Linked DNA regions of Astyanax mexicanus. The protein of the gene in region 1 purifies or fractionates together with the protein of each later gene. This does not show direct contact. Links are inferred from orthologs where the notes say so. Each region holds a gene or a part of one and is shown in the gene's direction. Other genes may lie near its edges.

What was found. Proteins that work in one complex are often made in the same cells at the same time.
Region 2: the proteins of coro1a (region 1) and ift57 purify together in Homo sapiens (affinity purification with mass spectrometry; 3 studies listed by BioGRID and IntAct, counting the BioPlex papers as one, with this or other methods). This does not show direct contact. The link is inferred for Astyanax mexicanus from reciprocal best matches to the Homo sapiens genes CORO1A and IFT57.
Region 3: the proteins of coro1a (region 1) and poc1a purify together in Homo sapiens (affinity purification with mass spectrometry; 3 studies listed by BioGRID and IntAct, counting the BioPlex papers as one, with this or other methods). This does not show direct contact. The link is inferred for Astyanax mexicanus from reciprocal best matches to the Homo sapiens genes CORO1A and POC1A.

Annotation. Positions count from the first base shown.
Region 1 is NC_064426.1:19,145,165-19,152,635, reverse strand, and holds the start of coro1a (coronin-1A), read left to right. Parts: upstream 1-4,463; 5' UTR 4,464-4,611; intron 4,612-7,471. UniProt on the Homo sapiens protein: May be a crucial component of the cytoskeleton of highly motile cells, functioning both in the invagination of large pieces of plasma membrane, as well as in forming protrusions of the plasma membrane involved in cell locomotion.
Region 2 is NC_064411.1:27,941,167-27,948,586, reverse strand, and holds the start of ift57 (intraflagellar transport protein 57 homolog), read left to right. Parts: upstream 1-4,400; 5' UTR 4,401-4,684; coding exon 4,685-4,839; intron 4,840-6,571; coding exon 6,572-6,746; intron 6,747-7,420. UniProt on the Homo sapiens protein: Required for the formation of cilia. Plays an indirect role in sonic hedgehog signaling, cilia being required for all activity of the hedgehog pathway.
Region 3 is NC_064431.1:16,184,463-16,191,547, forward strand, and holds the start of poc1a (POC1 centriolar protein homolog A), read left to right. Parts: upstream 1-4,065; 5' UTR 4,066-4,510; coding exon 4,511-4,513; intron 4,514-6,785; coding exon 6,786-6,870; intron 6,871-7,085.

The DNA of each region.
Region 1 (7,471 bases):
CTATTGGCTGCCGCTTCTCACCGGTGTGTGGATGAGTGTGGATGTGTAATGTGCTTGTGTGTAAAACGTGTAAATTGTAAAGCGTCCTTGGGTTTCTAGAGAGGCGCTATATAAGTTGAACTTCATTAATTCATACTTAAATGGAAGTCGATTATCAAAATCACCCAACAGAGTGGCTTGCAAATGTATTCATACCCTTCAATCTTTTTCACATTTTGTCTCCTTACATCCACACACTTACATTTATTTTATTAATATTTTAAGTGATAGACCAACACAAAGTAGCACATAATTGTGAAGTGGAACGAAAATAATACATGGTTTTCAAAATTTTATTTATTCAAATTAACATCTGAAAATGCTCATCACCCTGAACACCCCATCTCCACTGTGAAGCATGGTGGTGGCAGCATCATGCTGTGTGAATGCTTTTCTTCAGCGGGGACAGGGAAGATGGTCAGAACTAGAGAGATGATTGGAGAGATGTATCTCTGTGGACTGAGTGTGCTAACTGAGAGCCTAAACGCTCATCTTGTGATGCACTGTATGGATAATACTCTGGTTGCTGGTTTGGAGGAGCTTTACAGTGGACCATCATGCACGTTCTATTCAAACAAGCCCAGATTGGGACCTGAGTGTGGACTCATTTAGTCAGCACAAGTGTGAAAACACTTTAAACGCAAGTAAGGTTGATGGACTTAAATATAGAAATAGAGTGGCTTTCAAAAATATTCATATAACTTGAATTCTTTCACATTTTGTCACCCTACAACCGCAAACTTACCACTGACGGACCAACACAAAGTAGTGCGTAATTGTGGAGCAATGATACAGTGAGTCCAAGAAGTATTTGATCCCTTGCTGATTTTCTTTGTTTGCCCACTAATAAAGACACTATCCTTCTGCACTTTTAATGGTAGATATATTCTAACATGGAGAGACAGAATATCAAGACAAAAATCCAGAATATAATTTTAAAGAATATATTTTAATTAATTTGTATTTCAATGAGGAAAATAAGTATTTGATCCCTCTTGCCAAACACACTCAATACTTAGTGGCAAAGCCTTTGTTTGCAAGCACAGCGGTGAGACGTTTGTTGTAGTTAACCACAAGTTTAGCACACACACCAGGGGGAATTTTGGCCCACTCTTCTTTGCAGATCCTCTCTAAATCATGAAGGTTGTTGGGCTGTCGCTTGGCAACTCTGACCTTCAGCTCCCTCCATAGATTTTCGATCGGATTGAGGTCTGGCGACTGGCTACTGGGCCACTCCATGACCTTAATGTGATTTTTCTTGAGCCAATGCTTTGTTGCCTTTGCTATATGTTTAGGGTCGTTATCATGTTGGAAGACCCAACCACGGCCCATTTTCAGATCCCTGGCAGAGGGGAGGAGGTTGTCCCTCAGGATTGTGCGGTACATGACTCCATCCATCTTCCCAGTGATGCGGTGAAGTAGCCCTGTACCCTTGGCAGAGAAACACCCCCAAAACATTATGCTTCCACCTCCATGCTTGACGGTGGGCACAGTGTTCTTGGGGTCATAGGCAGCATTTTTCTTCCTCCACACATGGCGGGTGGAGTTGAGGCTTTGGAGCACCGGGCCGAGGTCTGTTGATTGTCATGTTATACTCTTTAAACTTTCTGATAATTGCACCAATAGTTGTTACTTTCACATCCAACACCTTACTAATCTTTTTGTAGCCCATTCCAGCTTTGTGAAGGTCAACAATTCTGACTCTGAGGTCCTGTGACAGCTCTTTGGTTTTATCCATGTTGGAGACTTGAAATCTGTGTGATCTGTCTGATTCTGTGGACAGGTGTTTTTCACACAAGTGATTAGTGAGAACAGGTGGCTTCAGGTCAGGTAACAAGTTGATTGGGAGTGTCTAACTGGTCTGTAAAAGCCAGAACTGCTAATGAATACTAAGGGATCAAATACTTATTTCACTCCATGAAATACAAATCAATTAATATATATTCCTTAGATTTATTTTCTGGATTTTCTTTTTAATATTCTGTCTCTCCATGTAAGAATACATCTACCATTAAAAGTATAGAATGATCATGTCTTTATTAGTGGGCCAACGAAGGAAATCAGCAAGGGATCAAATACTTCTTGGACTCACTGTACATGGTTTTCAAAAGTTTAATCAAATTGTAACGCTGAATTCCCACAGACTTTATCTTTAGCACAGGATTTAGAAGCTCCGGGCCTGGAGGCTGCGTGGTGGGTAGCTAGTTAGCTGTTAGCACACAGTACACATACACAGGAGTGGGCTTCACAAAGGGCTAATTTATTAGCACCACAGACCATACGAAGCCAGGTCACACGGCTGCTACTCATTCTATTTATACACAAAAGAAAAATACAGTATTCTTATCAACGTCACTTGGAGTAGTACAGAGTATCAAAAATGGAGGGGCAGCATAAAGTTGCAGTCCGAGCTCACCCTCCTCTCCTCGGGGTCTCTCTACTACTAGCCCTCATGGGAAAAAAACCCTGTATACATACACATAAAAAAAAGCTACCATCTCTTAAAGGGGCAGCGTAGCTGTACCCGTTACAAAATACAAATCTGAAAAGAGTGACAAGCAAAAGCATTCAGCCCACTTTACTCTGAAACCCCTAAATAAAATAGAGCGCAATCAATTGCCTTCAGTCACCTAATTAGTTAATAGTGTTTAGTGGTGTGTGATTTAGTCTTAGTTTAAATACACCTGTTCTGTGAAGTGGATTGTTAGTGAACACTAGTGAACAAACAGCATCATGAAGACCAAGGAATTCACCAGACAGGTCAGAGATAAAATCGTGGAGAACATTCCCCAAACTTTCAGCATTGCAAGGAGCACTGTTCAGTTCACCATCCAAAAATGGGAAAAGTATTCTACAACTGCAAACCAACCAAGACATGGTCGTCCACTCAAACTGACAGATCGAGCAATTAAAGCACTGGTCAGTGAATCAGTCAAGAGGCCCATGGTCACTCTGGAGAAGCTGCAGAAATCCAGAGCTCAGGTGAGAAAATCTGTCCACAGGACAACTATAAATCGAGCATTTCACAAATCTGGTCTTTATGGAAGAATGGCAAGAAGAAATTCATTGTTGAAAAAAAGACATAAGATGTCCTGTTTAAAGTTTGCAACAAGTCATGTAGGGGACGTGGAAACGTGGAAGAAGGTGCTGTGGTCAGATAAGAACAAAAGTGTAACTGTTTGGCCTACATGCAAAGCGTAATATTTGGCAGAACAGTAACACTGCTTATCACACCATGTGAAACATGGTGGTGGCAGCATCAGGGCAGGGGAGCTGGAAAGAGTTGATTGGAACATGGATGGAGGTAAATACAGGGCAATCCTGCAAAAGACTTGAGACTGGGAAGGAGACACACCTTCCAGCAAGACAATGACCCTAAACACACAGCCAGAGCTGAAAGAACATTTATTTGTTAGAATGGACCTAAATCCCATTAAGTATCAAGCAAAACATGAAAATTATTGTTCACAGACACTCTCCATCCAACCTGGCTGAGCTTGAGATATTTTGCAAAGAAGAATGGGCATAAATCTCAATCTATAGATGCACAAAGCTGGTAGAGACAAACTCCAAAAGACTTGTAATTGTAATTGTAAGTAAAGGGAGGCTCTACTACGTCTCTCATGAATCATGTATCATTTTTTGTTCCACTTAACAATGATGTGCTACTTTGTCTTGGTCTGTCATTGAAAATTTGTGATTGTAAGGTGACAAAAAGTCACAAAGTTCAAGGGGTTTAAATACACCATTCCCACTGTGAAACATGGGGGTGGGAGCATCATGCTCTGGGGATGCTTTTCTTCTTCCAACCTGGATGAGCTTGAGATATTTTGCAAAGAAGAATGGGCAAAAATCTCAGTCTCTAGATGCGCAAAGCTGGTAGAGATAAACCGCAAAAGACTTGCAGCTGTAATTGCAACAAAAGTAGGCTCTACTAAGTCACAATTATGTGCTACTTTGTGTTGGTCTATCATTGAAAATCTCAATAAAATACATAAAAAATTGTGGTTGTAAGGTGACAACATGTGAAAATGTCCTTGTGCAAGCCACTGTATCTGAACCTGATCACTATAATAGGAAAATCTAATACATACTGGTCCTTTAAGCAGCCGAATGCTTTAATTAGAGGGCGTATCCACAAATATTTGAACATGCAGTGAGCATTAAGTTAGTCTCTCAGACTGAACACCGAGGAGCTTCAGTCAGTAGAGGCTCGTGAACTGACTTCAGCACGGGCAGTTTAAAATCAGCGCGAGGCTCCGGGCTGCAGGTCCCCGCCGAGTCACATGGCGCGTGCAGGGAGGGAGACAGGAGGGCCACACAGAAGAGTCACAGTGTCATCTGCTGCGGCTCGAGCCGCTCGACGCTCTTTAAAAGGAAAAGAAAAGCAGAAAGAGGAGGAGATTCTCATCTGCAGCTCTCCGACTTTCACTTCCTCTCTGTGATCTGAACGCACATCTCCTGCTGCCAGTGCCGCCCTGCGCTCACTGCACACTTCTCTCTCTGCGCCTGAACCAGCCAGAGCCCAGCCCTCAGCCCAGCACTCGGCCTTCCACGACTCCTCATCTGCAGGTACTGTACCTCCTTCAGTTCCTTTACCATGTTTTTGACCACGCTTTCACCCTTTTGTTTTTACCTCAGCCAAATGCATGAACACCTTACTCTCTCTTTGCACACAGTTTTGTGTGTTCCATTCCTTTGTGTACTAATGAAGCATCCTTCATTTCCAGTTTTTGAGCTCTGGATGTTCAGGTTCTACTCTACAGCTTCTTCTTGCTAGAAGAGCTCGGCTACAGTTAAATGACCGCTGCAGTCCATTAATGAGTCAAAGCCATGCAGAGCAAAGAGCACAAAGTGGTGGGGTGAGGTGCGGCTGGAGGTTTGAGGAAGTAGGTGAACTGGGTGTTGTACAGCTCATCACTGTTGCAGAGGCTCCCATATCTTTAACAAACATTGGGCTTCATTCATCAATATTTTATTAAGAGTTTTCTGAGGTCTGTTTTTATGTTTTAACTTACTAAGAACAATCTACGCCGGATTCACGACATGTTCTGAAGCTGTGTTCTTAAAAAAATCTGTGTTTTAGCATAGAAACCTGCAATTTTCTAGAAAAATAAGAGCAGCTGCTCTTGGAAAGCAAAGGAAAGCAATGTACTGTATTATACCATTCAAAACTTGTGTGAAAGCGCAGCTGATGAATGGCTGTGATACACTCATCCGGTCTGCCATTTCCTGCTAAAATATTTAAATCCCAGTGGCTAAAAAAAAAAAAAAAACAAGGGTGAAAAATACCTGCATAGGTGGGGACACTGAATTTGACCATCAAGTATGGCTTTGAAGTGCTGGTCCTAAATATAGTCCTGGTAGCCTAAACCTTGATATTGAGGTACTGATGTATAATTTTCTGCGCTGTCTTCTCAAAAGTGTGCTTGGCAAGTTCTTCACGCAAGTAACAGACATGCTATTTTGATAAGAAGCCCTTAAATAGAGCGATTAACAGAGCAATCACTGAACAAGGCTGGGCTTTATCAACTTGCAGTTGCAAGAAACAGGATTTGAACACTTTGGGATTTGGGCTTTGATCTTTATCTAAGGCACAACAATAGACAAACACAGTCTGCTTAAACTAATGCCACACAAACAATTATATTACATTTGCATGATTTTATTGAACACATCATGTTAAAATTTACATTGAGGGAGGGAAAAAGTATGTGAACCCCTAGGCTAATGACTTTTCTAAGAGGATGTGATGAGGTTGTTGATGTCTTGGTTAAAGCTGCCCTGCCCTATAAAAAAAAAACTCACACCAGTTTTGAGTTTGCTGTTCTTAAGAAGCATTGCTTGATGTGAATCATGCCTCACACAAGCTCAAAGAGCTCTCAGAAGACCTACATTCTAAAATTGTTGACTTCCACCATGAAGCTGGAAAGGGTTACAAAAGTTGACATTCTTAAGAGCAAAATTCAGATAAGAAAACTGAAAAAAAAAAGTGAATATCAGATTCTTCGTACAAAAAAAGGGCATAAGTGGGCTTTATATGTGGATTTGTTCCTAAGAATGATTGGGGAACTTAAGCCTATTATGAATTACTTTAGATTTTATTTATAGTTGCCTACATCAGAACACAGCTAGTTTAGCTGTTAAGCTGAGTGTACGTTGTGCAGTGTATCAGTGAACGAGTGCGATCTACACTTTTGCTTTGAACTTCCTGCAGGCTTCACAGTGCAAAGGGTGCAAAGGGTGGTGACGATACACATGCACGTCAGGTTATGATGCTTGATTTTGATACAGAATATCATCAAGTGTTTGTAGTATCACAATAATATTTGATAGGGATGTAACGATACGACACAAACTTAATGTGGCACAAAAAGCCAACAGTTGACTTGGGAATAAAGTGAGAGATACAAAGAAATGAAAGAACAAAGAACTGAACCCACTTAACACCATATGGTCAAAAAAACACTATGGACAAAAGGGTCCATAGTTGGGACACCTGTTCATTCATTGATTTTGCCAGTACTAACAAAAAGATGTATTATTCTTCTTTGTATTTGGAGTAACTTTCTCTACTGTCCATAGAGAGCCTTCACGGCATTCATTCATTGTATCTCCTCATCCTCATTCTCTCATCCAGCTCATCCCTTCCCTCATCCTAGAACTACTGGACTATTGGACAGTTCCTCTTCTCCACAGCCCAATACTGGGAGCTTTATACCCCTTTAGCCCATGGCCATAGATAAATGCATTCATTAGAAAAGGTGTCCACAAACATCTGGACATATTTGGATATACTGTGTGATTTTCACTCTAACTGAAGCTCTAATCTGCAGATCTAGGTTTCCTGAAAGTATCCCAGAACAAAGCTGATTCTTAGATGGTGAAGCGAGCATCACACTGAACACTAAACACTCTCTCTACTCTCCACCAATTCAAATGATCTCAACACTAAGATGTTTTTGAGGAAAGTGGGCTCAGGGTTGGTAATATGCACAAGTTGGGGCACACCCAGTTAAATCATGTCAGATCTGTAAAAGAGACGCACTTCTGCACATTCTACAGTTTAATTGCCTTACTGTTTTTGTTGAATGTAGCATATTGCATAAAAAGGAACATTAAAACATATTAAATATTTTACATATTTTTTTTATGTAACATCCACTAAATAGATAGAAATTGGGTTTTAAATATGCATAAAAGGTGTATCTTAGTTTGTTTAGAGATAGTAATTGTAGTCCTTGTAGTACCATAGTATTAGAACATTGAGTATTGCAACTACTACTGAAAGAACAGAACTTTTAGTAATATCTCTTTTATAGTATTTGATAGTATCTTAGCATTGCAAAATGTATTACTTTAATGGTATTTGTACAGTATTTCTTCATCGTACTTTAATATTGAAACATGTAGTAGCTCTTTGCTGTACCTT
Region 2 (7,420 bases), on another chromosome or scaffold:
GCAAGATCTACACACCCAGCTACAACATCTGTTGGCAAATATGCCACAAGATGCCATATGGAATCTGTACGCCTCCGAACGACAACTTTCACTTTCTCAATAAACTTATCCTTTTACTCTAATATTTTAATCACCTACATATACAGTATCATCATTACATTCACACATACAGTATGAAGCTTCATTCTATTCCAACAACTCTTTCTTGGTGCGTTATTATTATTATTATTATTATTATTATCATTATTTTTGTCAATGAGTGTATTTGTCGTCCTCAATATAAGTCATACACAGACCAAACATGTATGTAAATGGGAGAGAAATGAGAAATGGAATGACTCATTTTTATTATTTCAGCATAGTTAAATGGTTAAGAATGAAAAACAGTAAGATAAAGCCAACATGAGCTTACGTGTGCCACTCCTATTGTTATAAAAATGTCCTGTCTTATCATTTGCCAAATTAGTGCAGATGCTAAATATGTCTGGGCAACTAATGAGCGCCAAAAGCTCAACAACAAGATGATCAAGGAACAGCTGAAATATTTTTTCCTGACATTTTAAGCTTTGAGAAGTTATACTGACTTTACCACAGAAAAATCTGTAACTTTTTAAAAGTAAATTAAAAATAAACTTTGCCCAATTAAAACCTCCACTTAAACCTTAAAAGGCAGTGTATACATATAGCAGATAAACTGCGTTACTGTGTGTGTGTGTGTGTTTGTGTGTATCTGACATGTCTGCTAAAAAAAGATTACTTGAAATAAATATGAACAGCTGAGCAGCTCTACTGGAATTCTTTCTCTCTCTCTCTCTCTCTCTCTCTCTCTCTCTCTCTATCTCTCTCTCTCTCTATCTCTCTCTCTATGAAACCCACACACACTCATTGATACACGCATGTTTAAATGCCGATATGCATTTGATATCTTGATAGTCTTAGCAGTAATACAAAAACATACATATATTTCTTAAATAAAAGCGTAAATCCTACTTGAAATTCAGTACAGATATTATCATTAAAACATCATAAAATTGCTGTTTTGAACTGTTCATCAGTCCTGCATGTCGGCTTGGAGGAATTTTAACCCATTCCTCCATACAGAACATCTTCAATTCTGGAATGTTGGTGGGTTTCTGCTGCTTCAGCTCCTTCCACAATTTTTCTTTTTTACTGGATTAAGATCAGGATTTTGGCCAGATCCCGTTCCAAAATATTCACTTTGATCTTCTTCGTCCATTTTTTGCTAGAATGACTCATGCACTTAGGGTCATTGTCTTGCTGCATAACCCACCTTTTTTTGAGATTTAGCGCAGACAAAAGTAATATTAATAATAATATTAATACTATTAGTTTCCATGAGGATTTGCTGGCATAATTCATTATTCATTATTCCATCAATCATGGCACATCCTTCATTTCCTGCCAGCATTAGCTAACTAAAACAAATCACTTTGTATTCTTTGAAAAACAACAATGGTGCCAGAGAACTATGTCTGGAATGATCTTGCTATAGTAAAAAAGCACCACACAGTGAGTTTGGAGATATTTACGGGAACTTGAGCAAATAAGATATTCTTATATACCTCACAATTAATTGTACTACTGTTTTTAACAGTTACATCATCAATAAAATGGGTCAAAATATCTGTGGCAGCCATGCCCGATCCATGACACCTCCACCACCATGTTTAACAGGTAGGTAGGTAGGTTTGCTTTGAATTGTGGGCCCACTGTTGCATGGTCTTTAGTCTTTTAAGCACTTTTTTGCACACTGTAAACTGATTATTTTGCTAATCTGGCCAGAATACTCTGCCTTTTTGCCGTCTTTTGACTATTTTTTATATTTATAAGACTACACAAGAATGATATTTTACTTCAGACTACACAGGAACGATACTTTCTGTCATGCATGCATTCACCCATTGCAAGCTGCACGACAGAGTAGACAGTGACAGGATGGACAGTTACAGAATGGACAATTTAAGAGAAAACTGGCATTTGTTGAAAACTGGCATGTTTGAATGTTCATGGTGAGGTAGTTCTGTTTCAAAGATACTGAGATAATTACTGAGATATTTTACTAAAAGACTGTGGACAGCTTGAGCTTAAACACAGCTTAATATGGAAATAATGTGATTCATATTAAATTAAATTGCTGAACATGCAACAAGTGTCTTAAGTTTCTTAAGGTTATGGTATCACTGATGTAAAACGTTATGTTAAAGGGGCGGGGTTATCCCAAAATGACAGAATGGACAGGGAATTCTTGGAAACATTTAAATAGTTTGATATATGTATATAAAAAGCTAAATTAAAAATGTCAGTGCCTAAAAACTTTATACATTTTTAACACAATTTAAAAAAGGTTATTTAATCCCCTGAAAGAATCATTCAACTTAACTAAGCAGCAAAAACCTTCCCACATCAAATAAAGCTTTAAAGGCCTTTAAAGTAGATCTATATTTTTATAATGTGTTAATTAAAAAAAATTGTATTATACAATGTTTGTAAAAAATTTAAATAAATATTTCACAGACGTATGGAGACATTTGTCTCAAAATGAGTGGAGTAGAACTTAAATCAATAAAAAAATAACTGATTTTTTGGATTAAATATGGATTCAAGGATTAAATTAACTTGACCGGTGATTCTTTGTGCTTTTTTGAGTTCTAAAATTCTAAGTTAGACTGAGTATTCCTACAATAAGCAAAACAATCTTACACATACACAATGCTTAGTGAGATAAAGATTCTTATCAGAGAGAAAAAAAAATGATTGCCTTGAAATTAGATAATTTCACATTTTGTGCATATTGTGACTTCAAATTACATGAAACAATGTGAAAATTATTCTTAAAATAAGCAAATATTCTTATACTTATACACAGTGCTTAGTAAGACAACCAATCTTTTCAGAGACAAAAATAAGATTTGTTGCCTTAAAATTCAATCATTTCACTTTTTGTGCTTGTTTCGAGTTCAAATTACTTTAAATAATGTGAAAACTCCTAATTATTCCTATAATAGTCAAAATAATGTTAACATTACACAGTGCTTAGTAAAACAAAAATATTTATCAGATAAAAAAAGGTTTATTTCCTTACAATTAGATAATTTTTGTGCTTATTTTGTGCTAACATAAGGGAAAAAAGCCTAATTATTCCTAAAATAAGCTAAGAAAAAAAAATCTTACATTTATACAGTGCTTAGTAAGAAAAACAATCTTATCAGAGGAAAAAAGAAATATGTATTGCCAGGAAATTAAATAAGTGTTATATACAGTGTTGACGAGTCTAGCTATATTTCTATTTCTATTTATTCTATATGAAATTGTCTATCTATTGACTGACTAATACAAACCCGCCTGTATTTTCTAAATGTCTGATCTAATTGACCATTTTTATTGACATAACTGAGTGTTTTTGTAGTGTGCAGGTATTACTGCTAAACGTTACTGAACAACAGTTAGTGAGCCAGAGTTGCCAGGTTCACGGTTTTTCCGTCAAATTGGGCTTGTTTGAAAATCCAGTCGCGGGTGAAAATTCAGGGGTGGCGGGGTGCGTTTTTCGGGCTTCTTTTAAAAATTACCGCGGCCACCAAAAAACAAAAACAAAAAGTCACACCCCCCCCCCACCCAAAAAAAAAAAAAAAAAACATAGTGTAACCAGAAATCACTAGGCAATTAAAAATAATGAAGAGGAGTGAAGAAAGTTCAGGAGGGGCAGGAATAGAAAAGAGTAAGTAATTTTATTTTATTTTTTGCTATTTATGTTATTATTAAATGTTCTTGACTGTGATATAAAACTGTTATAAAATAACTAATAAAAAATACTAATGTAACACTATTATTAATGACTGTAAGTAAATACTAAGCCGTGAGACAGACAGCTCTGGAAAAAAATTAAGAGACGACTTCAGTGATTTTGCTATTTAATAGGTACATGTTTGAGTAAAATAAACATTGTGGTTTTATTCTATAAACTACGGCCAAATTCTCCCAAATTCCTGAAAAAAATTGTCATTCAAAGTTTTATTTGCACAAAATGAGAAATGGCTGAAATGACAAAAAAGATGCAGAGCTTTCAGACCTCAAATAATGCAAAGAAAACAAGTTCATATTCATATTTGAGTTCAGAAATCAATATTTGGTGAAATAACCCTGTTTTTAATTACAGTTTTCATACATCTTGGCATCATGTTCTTCTCCACCAGTCTTACACACTGCTTTTGGGTAACTTCATGCCTTTACTCCTGGTGCAAAAAATTCAAGCAGTTCAGCTTGGTTTGATGACTTGTGATCATCCATCTTCCTTCGTGATTATATTACATTATGTTTTCAATTTGGTAAAATCACAGAAACTCATCATTTTTAAGTGGTCTCTTATTTTTTTCAGAGCTGTATATTTTGGGCTAGTTTAAGCTTCTGAATGGCGGGTTCTAAACTGACTTTGGGCTGGTTATGTTTTTAGACCTGGCAACCCTGTAGTGAGCTACAGGCTAAACTAAGCTGCCAACAGTAACTACAACAAACCGCACAGACACCAGCCCAGCATTAGCAGCGGCTAGCGGGATAACTTAGCTAACCTAGCTAACTGTACACCCTTCTACAGCACAAAAGAGGCTTTAATTTACCCATCTGACGAGTAAACTACAGCTCTCTAACCCGCTGTAGTTTAGTGTACAGTATGGCAGAAGATGGTAGAAGAGTGGAGGAGGATGAACGGGGTCCAGGAGCTCAATTTCAGATGTTTGTGGTTATGGAGGATATGCTGGATAAACTGAAGCTGCTGGATTATGAGGAACATGTTCTGGTTAAACACAACATGAAAACGCTGTCCAGGTAAGAGTTCGGCGAGTTAAAACAACAAAAAATGAGATAGACTAGCTTATTATAGCATTGTTATTAGCCTTAGCTGGCTATTTTGTTTCTGGATCCAGGTCCAGAAAGTACCTGTCCACCCCAGGATTTCGTTCCAACTACCTGAGCGGCTCTGCTGCAGCTCAGAGCCACCCAGACAGTTGGAACTAAATCCTGGGGGTGGATCAGTACTTTCTGGACCTGGATCGGCCACTGTTGAGTAAATTCAGCAAGTCATGTAGCTATCTTCATGTAATGTTATTTAGCCAGTATTTAAAGCTAAGCCCGTAAAAATACATGTATATATAGCTCTGGAAAAAAATAAGAGACCACTTAAAATGATTAGATTTTACCAAATGAAAAACCTCTGGAATATAATCAAGAGGAAGATGGATGATCACAAGCCATCAAACCAAGCTGAACTTCTTGATTTTTTGCACCAGGATTAAAGGCATAAAGTTACCCAAAAGCAGAACATGCCAAGATGCATGAAAACTGTGATTAAAACTACGTTTATTCTAACAAATATTGATTTCTAAATTCTTTGATTGATTTCTTTGCATTATTTGAGGTCTAAAAGCTCTAAAATGGTATTTTCTGCAAATAAGTTCTCTAAATGACAATATTTATATTTGGAATTTGGGAGAATTGTTGCCTGTAGTTTATAGAATAAAACAACTTAAACATATATCTATAAATAGCAAAATCAGATTCAAAACAATAAAACCACAAGGACCTCCAAATTCTGCCTAATCTGTCTTATTGTGATAGAAGAATTATTGCACACATTCTGTAAATCCTATAAACTTAATTTCTCTTCTCAAATGTCACTGTGTTCGTCTGCTATATGATACATTTAACTAAAATTGCTGATCCAAACAACCAAAAATTTATGAAAGGAAATCCTGAAAATGATCAGGGGTGCCAAAACCTTTTCATACTACTGTAATGCTACTGTAGGATCTTGTGGAATATTTTGCTAAAACACTGATTATTGTTGCTTTTTAGAGCAGCTCTACATAAAAATAATCCTGCCAGTTGTACAGGGGTTAGACAATGAAACTGAAACACCTGGTTTTAGACCACAATAATTTATTGTCCCGACGGACAGTTCTGGTGGAAACAGGATAGTTGAGGTGCACATTGAATTCTGCCGTGATTTGATCAGGTTCTTTTATGTTTTTTGGATACACTCCGGGTTAGCACCCAAACATCCCTTTCAGACAGTTTCCTCTTACAGCGTCCACAGTTAATCCTGTTGGATGTGGTTGGTCCTTCTTAGTGGTATGCTGACATTACCCTGGATACCGTGGCTCTTGATACATCACAAAGACTTGCTGTCTTGGTCACAGATGCGCCAGCAAGACCTGCATCAACAATTTGTCCTCTTTTGAACTCTGGTATGTCACCCATAATGTTGTGTGCATTGCAATATTTAGAGCAGAACTGTGCTCTTACCCTGCTAACTGAACCTTCACACTCTGCTCTTACTGGTGCAATGTGCAATTTATGAAGATTGGCCACCAGGCAGCTCCAATTTAGCCATGAAACCTCCCACACTAAAATGACAGGTGTTTCAGTTTCATTGTCCAACCCCTGTATTAGTTATAATATTAATAATATAACATTGATTGTCCTCATTTTGTCTGTGTTTCTCTCTTTGTCCTTGTCTTTTTCTTTCTCTTGTCCTCCTCACTGTTCCTATTTTTCTCAGGCATTATTTTGTGTCGAGTCCATACACAGCGAGCAACACGGGTGAGCAGTTCTACATGTTCAGTGTGATTGCAGCCTGGCTTATAACACTGTGTGGACGGCCGTTTGAAACACCACAGGAGCATGATGACCCCAACGCCACCGTCTCCAACATCCTGTCCCAGCTCCGAGCTCTGGTCAGTTACAACAAGGCAGAAACATTGAACATTGAAGAGTGTGCATGAGTAAGAAAGTATGAGACAGAGACATGGGACATAGATGGGTCCCCTCGAGATGAAGGTGGGCTGTAATGATGAAGCTCATTTGGGAATTCCAACTGTGTCTCAGTAACAACACATGTACAAACCCATTCAGAGCCCATGCCCATGTCTTGAACCCACCTAGCCTGTGTTCCACCCATGTGAATCCCACATCATGGAGCCATCAGAGCAAGATTGGGAATAGGGGTGTGCCATAACAAATCTGCTAACATTTTTGAATATCATGAACGATATAATACCCTGAAATATCGTGTCATATCACCCACCCCTAATTATCACATCAGGGTACTCCTTCTTTTTTTCAACTGTTTTTAGCAAAAGAAAAATTCACACTGTTCTCGTTTCCCATTATATATCTACTGGAGATTTTATCTGCCCAGTATCATTTATTTTACTTTAATCATGGATATATTGAGATATATGGAGTGCATTATTAGTCCTGTTAAAATCTTATATATTTTTTAATGTCTCAGTTAGGGGTGTGCCGTAACATATCATATGCAATAATAACATTTATTTTTTTCATTTTGTTGCAGTAGTGTATTTTTTATATATTTTTTTAAATTCAGTGTTCTGTGGTATCACCAAGA
Region 3 (7,085 bases), on another chromosome or scaffold:
CTCTCAGTCTGAGATACTAATGGTGCTATTTTACAAGAATTAGCTTTCTGCGGCTTGATTTGAATTTAAATTTGAATTTAATGTGTATTTCCATTGTTCTTTTTTTTTTTACTGTGTCTGTAAATTCTAATGAACTGCATTTATATTTCTACCTTTATATATTTCAGCACCTGTCCTGGTCGTTTTACTTGGAGTAAACATTCAAATAATGTGAAATGATGATATAACTTGAACCGTGCTATCTTTATGACTTGTGCACTTTGTCAGATCAGAGCTCATGTTTTATTTCTGCTTTATGAAGCAATTTAGCACAAAGAAAGTATTTTTTTTTTAAAAAAGGAGTTTTTTTGAATTACTTGATATCTTTAACAATCATGCTTGAAAACACAAGGGGAACCTCATGTGAGTCATGTGACGTGATACTTGTTTTCTTTCTTTCTTGTTTTAAATAAAAATGCACTTATATATTTGTAAAAAAAGGATTAACTGGTGCTCAGAAACTGGTGCTAGACTCTAAACTGGTGTGTCTTTACTGGACGCTGCTGTTTTATAGTGAAATGTTGAGTAATCACAGTTTATGGCAGCTGGGGCACTAATTACTCATGATGATGCCACCCAGACTGTCATTTCTGAAAGAGGTGATTTTATACTGATTTCATTATAGTAAAAATAGTTATCATGCTCTTGTTATGCTACATGTAATACCTGCTATACATACTGCATTTCTATTTAATATAAATAAATAAATGAATAAAAAGGCGTTTGTTTCTGATTATCTTTGATTATAGATTATGGATTTACACACAGACACACACATACACACACACACACACACACTCAGCTGAGCTGAGCTTTGAGCTGGTGCTTATCTTCTGTGAAACCCAGTTTAACCCAATTACTAGTAACTCAGAGCCACCTTCTCTTCAGCAGAACAACTAATATTTAAACATGTCAGCCTGCACTTCTTTCCCAGAACATGTTTGCTGAGTGGAGCTCTTTCTGAGATCCCACATACACACACACACACACACACACACACACACACACACACACACACACACACACACACAAACAGATAGTATTGGTTGAAAGATTTTGTCAAATGGGATCCTGATGCTCATGTTGTAATACAGCATAGGAAAAAATGAGTCCCAATTTAAAAAAAAAAAATAGCTTTGCCAGTTTGTTAAATCAATCTTCCTGACAAAACAGGGTTTTTGGAGTGCAATAGATAATGTAAAATAAAGAAAGATCAATCAGTTTAAGCGAAAAAACGTCACTTATACAGTGAAGTTTAAGAGTTCTTAGAGTTCTGACTTATGCAAAAATAACCTAACTGTATTTTCTTGGTCTCAGCCAGAATATCCAGCATAGACAGCCTTCACCAGTCTAACCCTCAGGACCCTTCACTGTTTGGGTGTCTTTTTGCTACCCTTAAACTGAATCATTGTCCTTTTCATTGTTCATTGCACTTTTGTCCAGAAGATTTGTCCACTGAATAAACCGCATTTGTATCTTAACAGCGCAGCGCTTTTGCGTGTCTCAGCAGAGGATCCTGACTTGCTCGTTCACTCTGTAAAGGTACGCCAGCAGCTCATTTAAGGGAACAGCAATGTTATTTTATTCTTTATTCTGTTTATTGTTGATGTGAAAGCTGGATTGTGGTGTAAGTGTGTAAGAAACGTGGGTGTATACGCTGAGGGCACGCAACGCACATGGCGCTCCTGCATGGCTAAGATAGGATTGGAGGCCTGACTGTTGACTGTTGTCAGGGTTTTAATCAGTAAGTTGGCAAATGTAAGACAAGCCTTTGTTTTCTTTTGGTTCAACAGTGGTTTTTGCTTTGGACTCTCCCATGGATACCATTTTCAACCAGTCTCTTTCTTATAATTGAATCATTAATACTGACCTTAACTGAGAGAAGTGAGACCTGTATTTCTTCAAATGTTGTTCTGGGTTCTTTTGTTACTTCCCGGATGAGTTGTTCAGGTTCACCAGTGTTCCATGTTTTCTCCATTAGTAAATAGTAGCTCTTACGGTGGTCTGCTGGAGTCCCAAAGCCTTAGAAATTGTTGAAGTTGTACCTTTTCCAAGATCAGTGAGTTTCTCAGTTGCTGTTTTCTCACCTGCTGTTGATTTTTTTTTTTTTTCATATTGGGGCAGATTGTTGCTTTTTGAGATCTTTTAGCTGCTTCTGGTTGTGGACACTGGACAGTAGTGAAATTTAATTTAGCTTTGCACAAAATGTAGTTAATCACAGTTCATTCATGGAAAGGCAATTAATAATTTACCTTAATAAATGAAATAGTTATTTATAAACGTTTTTTTTATTTATCTTTGTTTGATATTAAAGTTTGTTTAGTAATCTGAAAAATTTAAATATAATAACACAAACAAACAAATAATAAATCTGTAACGGGGAAAATACTTTTTTATCAGTACTGTATATAGAACATGACAACTGTACAAATGCCTATACAGTTATACAGTTATATACTGGTTCTCTTGTTCTACACATATAATATATATATATACATTTATTTATTCCAATTATTTTATTTTTTTTAGAATCTTGTGAATATACATTTATCATGATTCAAACATCCTTTATCAGGCTTAAATGTTGAGGTAGGAAAAAATATTGGAAAAACTATATATGAATAGTATTATTTTATTTAAATAAATGATTTTAAAGCCATCTATGTTTTTTTTTCTTATTAAAAGTGTAAGTATTAATTTATAGGTCAAATAAAAAATAAATAAATTTAAGCCTACAATTTACCGACCTCTAGCGGGGGTCTGATTAAACTGCAGTTTCCACAATGCTGACTTCCAGTCTGCGCTTTTAAATCTCTGTCTCTGTCCAAATTATTATATACTTTTTTGAAATTATTTTGATGTGTATTATTAAATGTAATTTATATTTAATGTATAATTTGTATTTCCAGTTCGTATCATTTTATATAATATATTGTCTTCCAGGGAGCTTTTATTTTGATTAAAAAAAAAATGCTCACGTACTGTATACTGGCCAATCAGGAGTCGCCCAGAAAATCTCTAGTAGCGAGAATACCCACTAGACTAGTGAATCTTTGTCAGATTTGACCACTAGGAGGCGCTGTCGAGTGAGTCCAAAATTAATGGCTTCATATGGAGCAATTGACCAAAATTGGAGATTGTAAATAATGAATCATTTGAATGCTTTTAAAGTGTACTCATTTTCTAAACACAGAACAATATATCCTGTTTTAGTACAGAAAAACATAATTTTAAAGCTTTTTTACTCCAGTTATAAACCTTTTAATCATGCTTTTGCTATGTATCCGCCTACAGTTGCAGTAACGAGCACCTTAACTGCCTAAAACCGGTTTCCTGAAGAAAAACTAAGGTACGTTTTATTTATTTTTAGCAAAATACATCATTATAATTTTCAAAATTAAAGGAATATCCTGGCTAAGTGTAATTCGTATTTTTTATTTTATTTATAATTTGTTTAGTTGTTTAGCTCCATTCACCCCCATTCATTTTGGACTCACTCGCGGGCTCCCTCTAGCGGTTAAAACAGTAATGCTCTGATATAATGGCGGAGATCTGTCTTAGCGACCAACTTTGATTCATTTCAACGAACCGATTCTTCATAACGGTCACTTGAATGAATGGGAAGTAGTGAAGTCAGTCACTTTTTCTTTTAATTGGTTGTATTTTAATTTTTAAAGTGATTATTTAATAGATTATAAAAATCTACAATTAAAATTCTAACAATACATCACTTTTAAATATTTGCTAAATTAACTCTGAACAAACTTTTTATTTTAAGAAAATGGCTTTTTAAATAAAGAATTTCGATTATTATTAGAGGTGGGTAAGCAGAGCCGCCCAGGCAGTTGGTACAAAACCCTGGGATGGATTTTTTTTACTTTCTAGAGCAATATATTTACATACAAATAAGTTACTTTAAACAAATGTCATTGCCATACATAGCAGGGTGATTAAAACGGTCAACTATTTATTAATAGTTTTGATTCATTAAAATGAACCGATTCAGTAAAATGATTCATTCACAAGTCGGCGCGGAAAACAAATCTGTCGGCGGTTTGTTTTCGTTACTAAGCGGCTCAGAGCCGAGTTCCTAGTGCTTCTCTCACTCTGAACTTCTTTACACTTTCTGTACAGATTCGGATATTTCAGTACAGCTCGCAGATAGACGGCTATTCAGTTCAAAGTGAATAAAACCGGGAAGTTTGCCTGGTTTTAGCTCTTAGAAACCCGAGAACACCTGATACGGAGCCGGGGAGCGTTAGTTAGCCAGGTAGCTAATGCTAACTCCACAACAACCGCCACCTGTAACTCAGCTCTCCTTATAAAAACACATATATAATATAAGTAAAATATCTGCTTATATTTACTGTGACTCTGTTTATTGTAATGTTAAACATTAGCCAGTGAGTTTATCGGCTGGGTGTGTGGACTATCTGCTCTTTCTCTGTGTATAAAGAAAAGGAGCTGCGCTATGGTGAGTTATTTACTGGCTTTAACTAAAACTAGCTAATCTATGTTTGTGGATCATCCAGATTTTGGACCTCTGAAAATACAGAGACCACTTAAAATGAATGAGTTGATTTTACCTAATTAAAAACATCTGGAATATAAACAAGAGGAAGATGGATGATCACAAGCCATAAAACCAAACTGAACTGCTTGAATTTTTGCACCAGGAGTGCAGGCATAAAGTTATCCAAAAGTAGTGTGTAAGACTGGGGGAGGAGAACATGCCAAGATGCATGAAAACTGTGATTAAAAACCAGGGTTATTCCACCAAATATTGATTTCTGACCTCTTAACATTTTATGAATATGAACTTGTTTTATTTGCATTATTTGAGGTCTGAAAGCTCTGCATCTTTATTGTTATTTCACTCATTTCTCATTTTCTGCAATTAAATCCTCTAAATGTCAATGTTTTTTTGCAATTTGGGAGAAATGTTGTCCGTAGTGTATAAAATAAAACAAGAGTGTTCATTTTTCTCAAATATATACCTATAAATATCAGAATCATAGAAACTGATTCAGAAACTATAGCGGTCTCTTATTTTTTTCCAGAGCTGCATATTACATGAAATACACATTTACCGTATTTACTTGAACATTTAAACTGATTTCAGAGCTTTAACGAGGTTCAGTTGTATAAATAAATAAATAAAAAATAAAAGTAATCCAAATTATGAAGAAAAACATAATTAACTAGAAAAGTTAACACAAGATAGTTGTGCAGCTAAAATTGATTCCACTGTTCGCTGTGGAGGTTGCTATGTTGTTGCTAACCGGTGGCTAGGTGGTTGCTAAAGAGGTTGCTTGGGTATCTGTGCGGGTTGTTAAGCTGTTGCTAAGCGGTTGCTAGGTGATTTCTTAAGTGTTACCATGTTATCCGTGGTGGTTACTATGGTGGTCCCATGTGGTTGCTAGCTAATTGCTAAGGTGTTGCTGTTGTATCCTTGTTGGTTGCTATGTTGTTTATAAGTGGTTGCTAAGGTGTTGCTATGGTATCTGTGGTGGTCGCGATATTGTTGCTAAGTGGTTGGTAAGGTGTTGCTAGGTGGATGCTAAGATAATGTATTTGCATAATCTGATCTATGCAAATACATTAGCTAGGTGGTTGCTAAAGTGTTGCTATGGTATCAGTGGTGGTTGCTATGGTGTCCATGGTAGTTGCTAAGGTGTTCCTAAGTGGTTGCTCTGTTGTTGCTATGGTGTTGCTATGGTGGTTGCTAAGATGTTGCTATGGTGTCCATGGTAGTTGCTATATTGTTTCTTAGGTGTTGCTAAGTGGTTGCTAAGGTCTTACTAGGTGGCTGCAAAGTAATGTATTTGCATAAATCAGATTATACATGGCTTGGGTATGGACTCTAGGTTGCTCTGGACGTGTGATTGTTGTTTATTATGGCTTACAGCCAATGAAAACCCAAAAATCGGTATCTCAGAAAATTAGAATATTATATAAGATCAATTGGTACTTTCTGCAGTGTGGGCCAAGTCCTGCTGGAAAATGAAATCTGCATCTCCATAAATGTGCTGTAAGATTTTGTGGGAAAACACTGCACTGACTTTAGACTTGATAGAACACAGTGGATCAACACCTGCACATGACATGTCTCTACAAACCATCACTGATTGTGGAAACTTCACACTAGACCTCGAGCAGCTTGGACTGGGTGTCTCTCCACTCTTCCTCCAGACTCTGATCCCTTGATTTACAAATGAAATGTAAAATGTACTGATGAGCAGTGATGGTTTGGAGTGACATGTCATCTGCTGGTGTTGATCCACTGTGTTAAATCAAGTCTAAAGTCAGTACAGTTTTGTTTTCCCACAAAATCTTGCAGCACTTCATGCTTCCCTCTGCTGACAACTTTTATGGAAATGCAGATTTCATTTTCCAGCAGGACTTGGCACACTGCCCACACTGCAGAAAGTACCAATTGGTCTTATATAATATTCTAATTTTCTGAGACACAGATGTTTGGCTTTTTATTGGCTAAAAATTCCATTATTATCAACAATGAAATAAATAAACACTTAAAATAGATCACTCTGTGTGTAAAGCATTTATTTATATTATATATGAGTTTTGCATTTTGAAAATAATTACTGAAATAAAAGCAACTTTTGGTATTCACATTTTTTGAAATGCACTAGTATATACATTGCTATACATTTGACCTGGGTGATAGCGCTAGTGTTAGGGTTAATAACCTGGTGCCTTTATCTTTTAATATTGTGCTTTTTCAGGATGATCCATCCCTCCAGAGAAACTTTAAAGGGCACAGAGACACAGTAACCAGCATCGACTTCAACTGTAACATGAAGCAGATAGGTACAGTATAGAGCTCTCTTATTTAACCTTTCTAAACTAAATTATTATTAATTATATTCAGAAATTTCATTATTGCAATGTAGTCAAAGAATTTATGTTTAGAGCGTTAATAAACTCTACCCACTTCCAGCCCCTCACCCTATTACTGCTTTAGACCACACCCACCTCCAACATCTCAAGTAATTACTGCTTAAGCCACACCCACTTCCAGCACC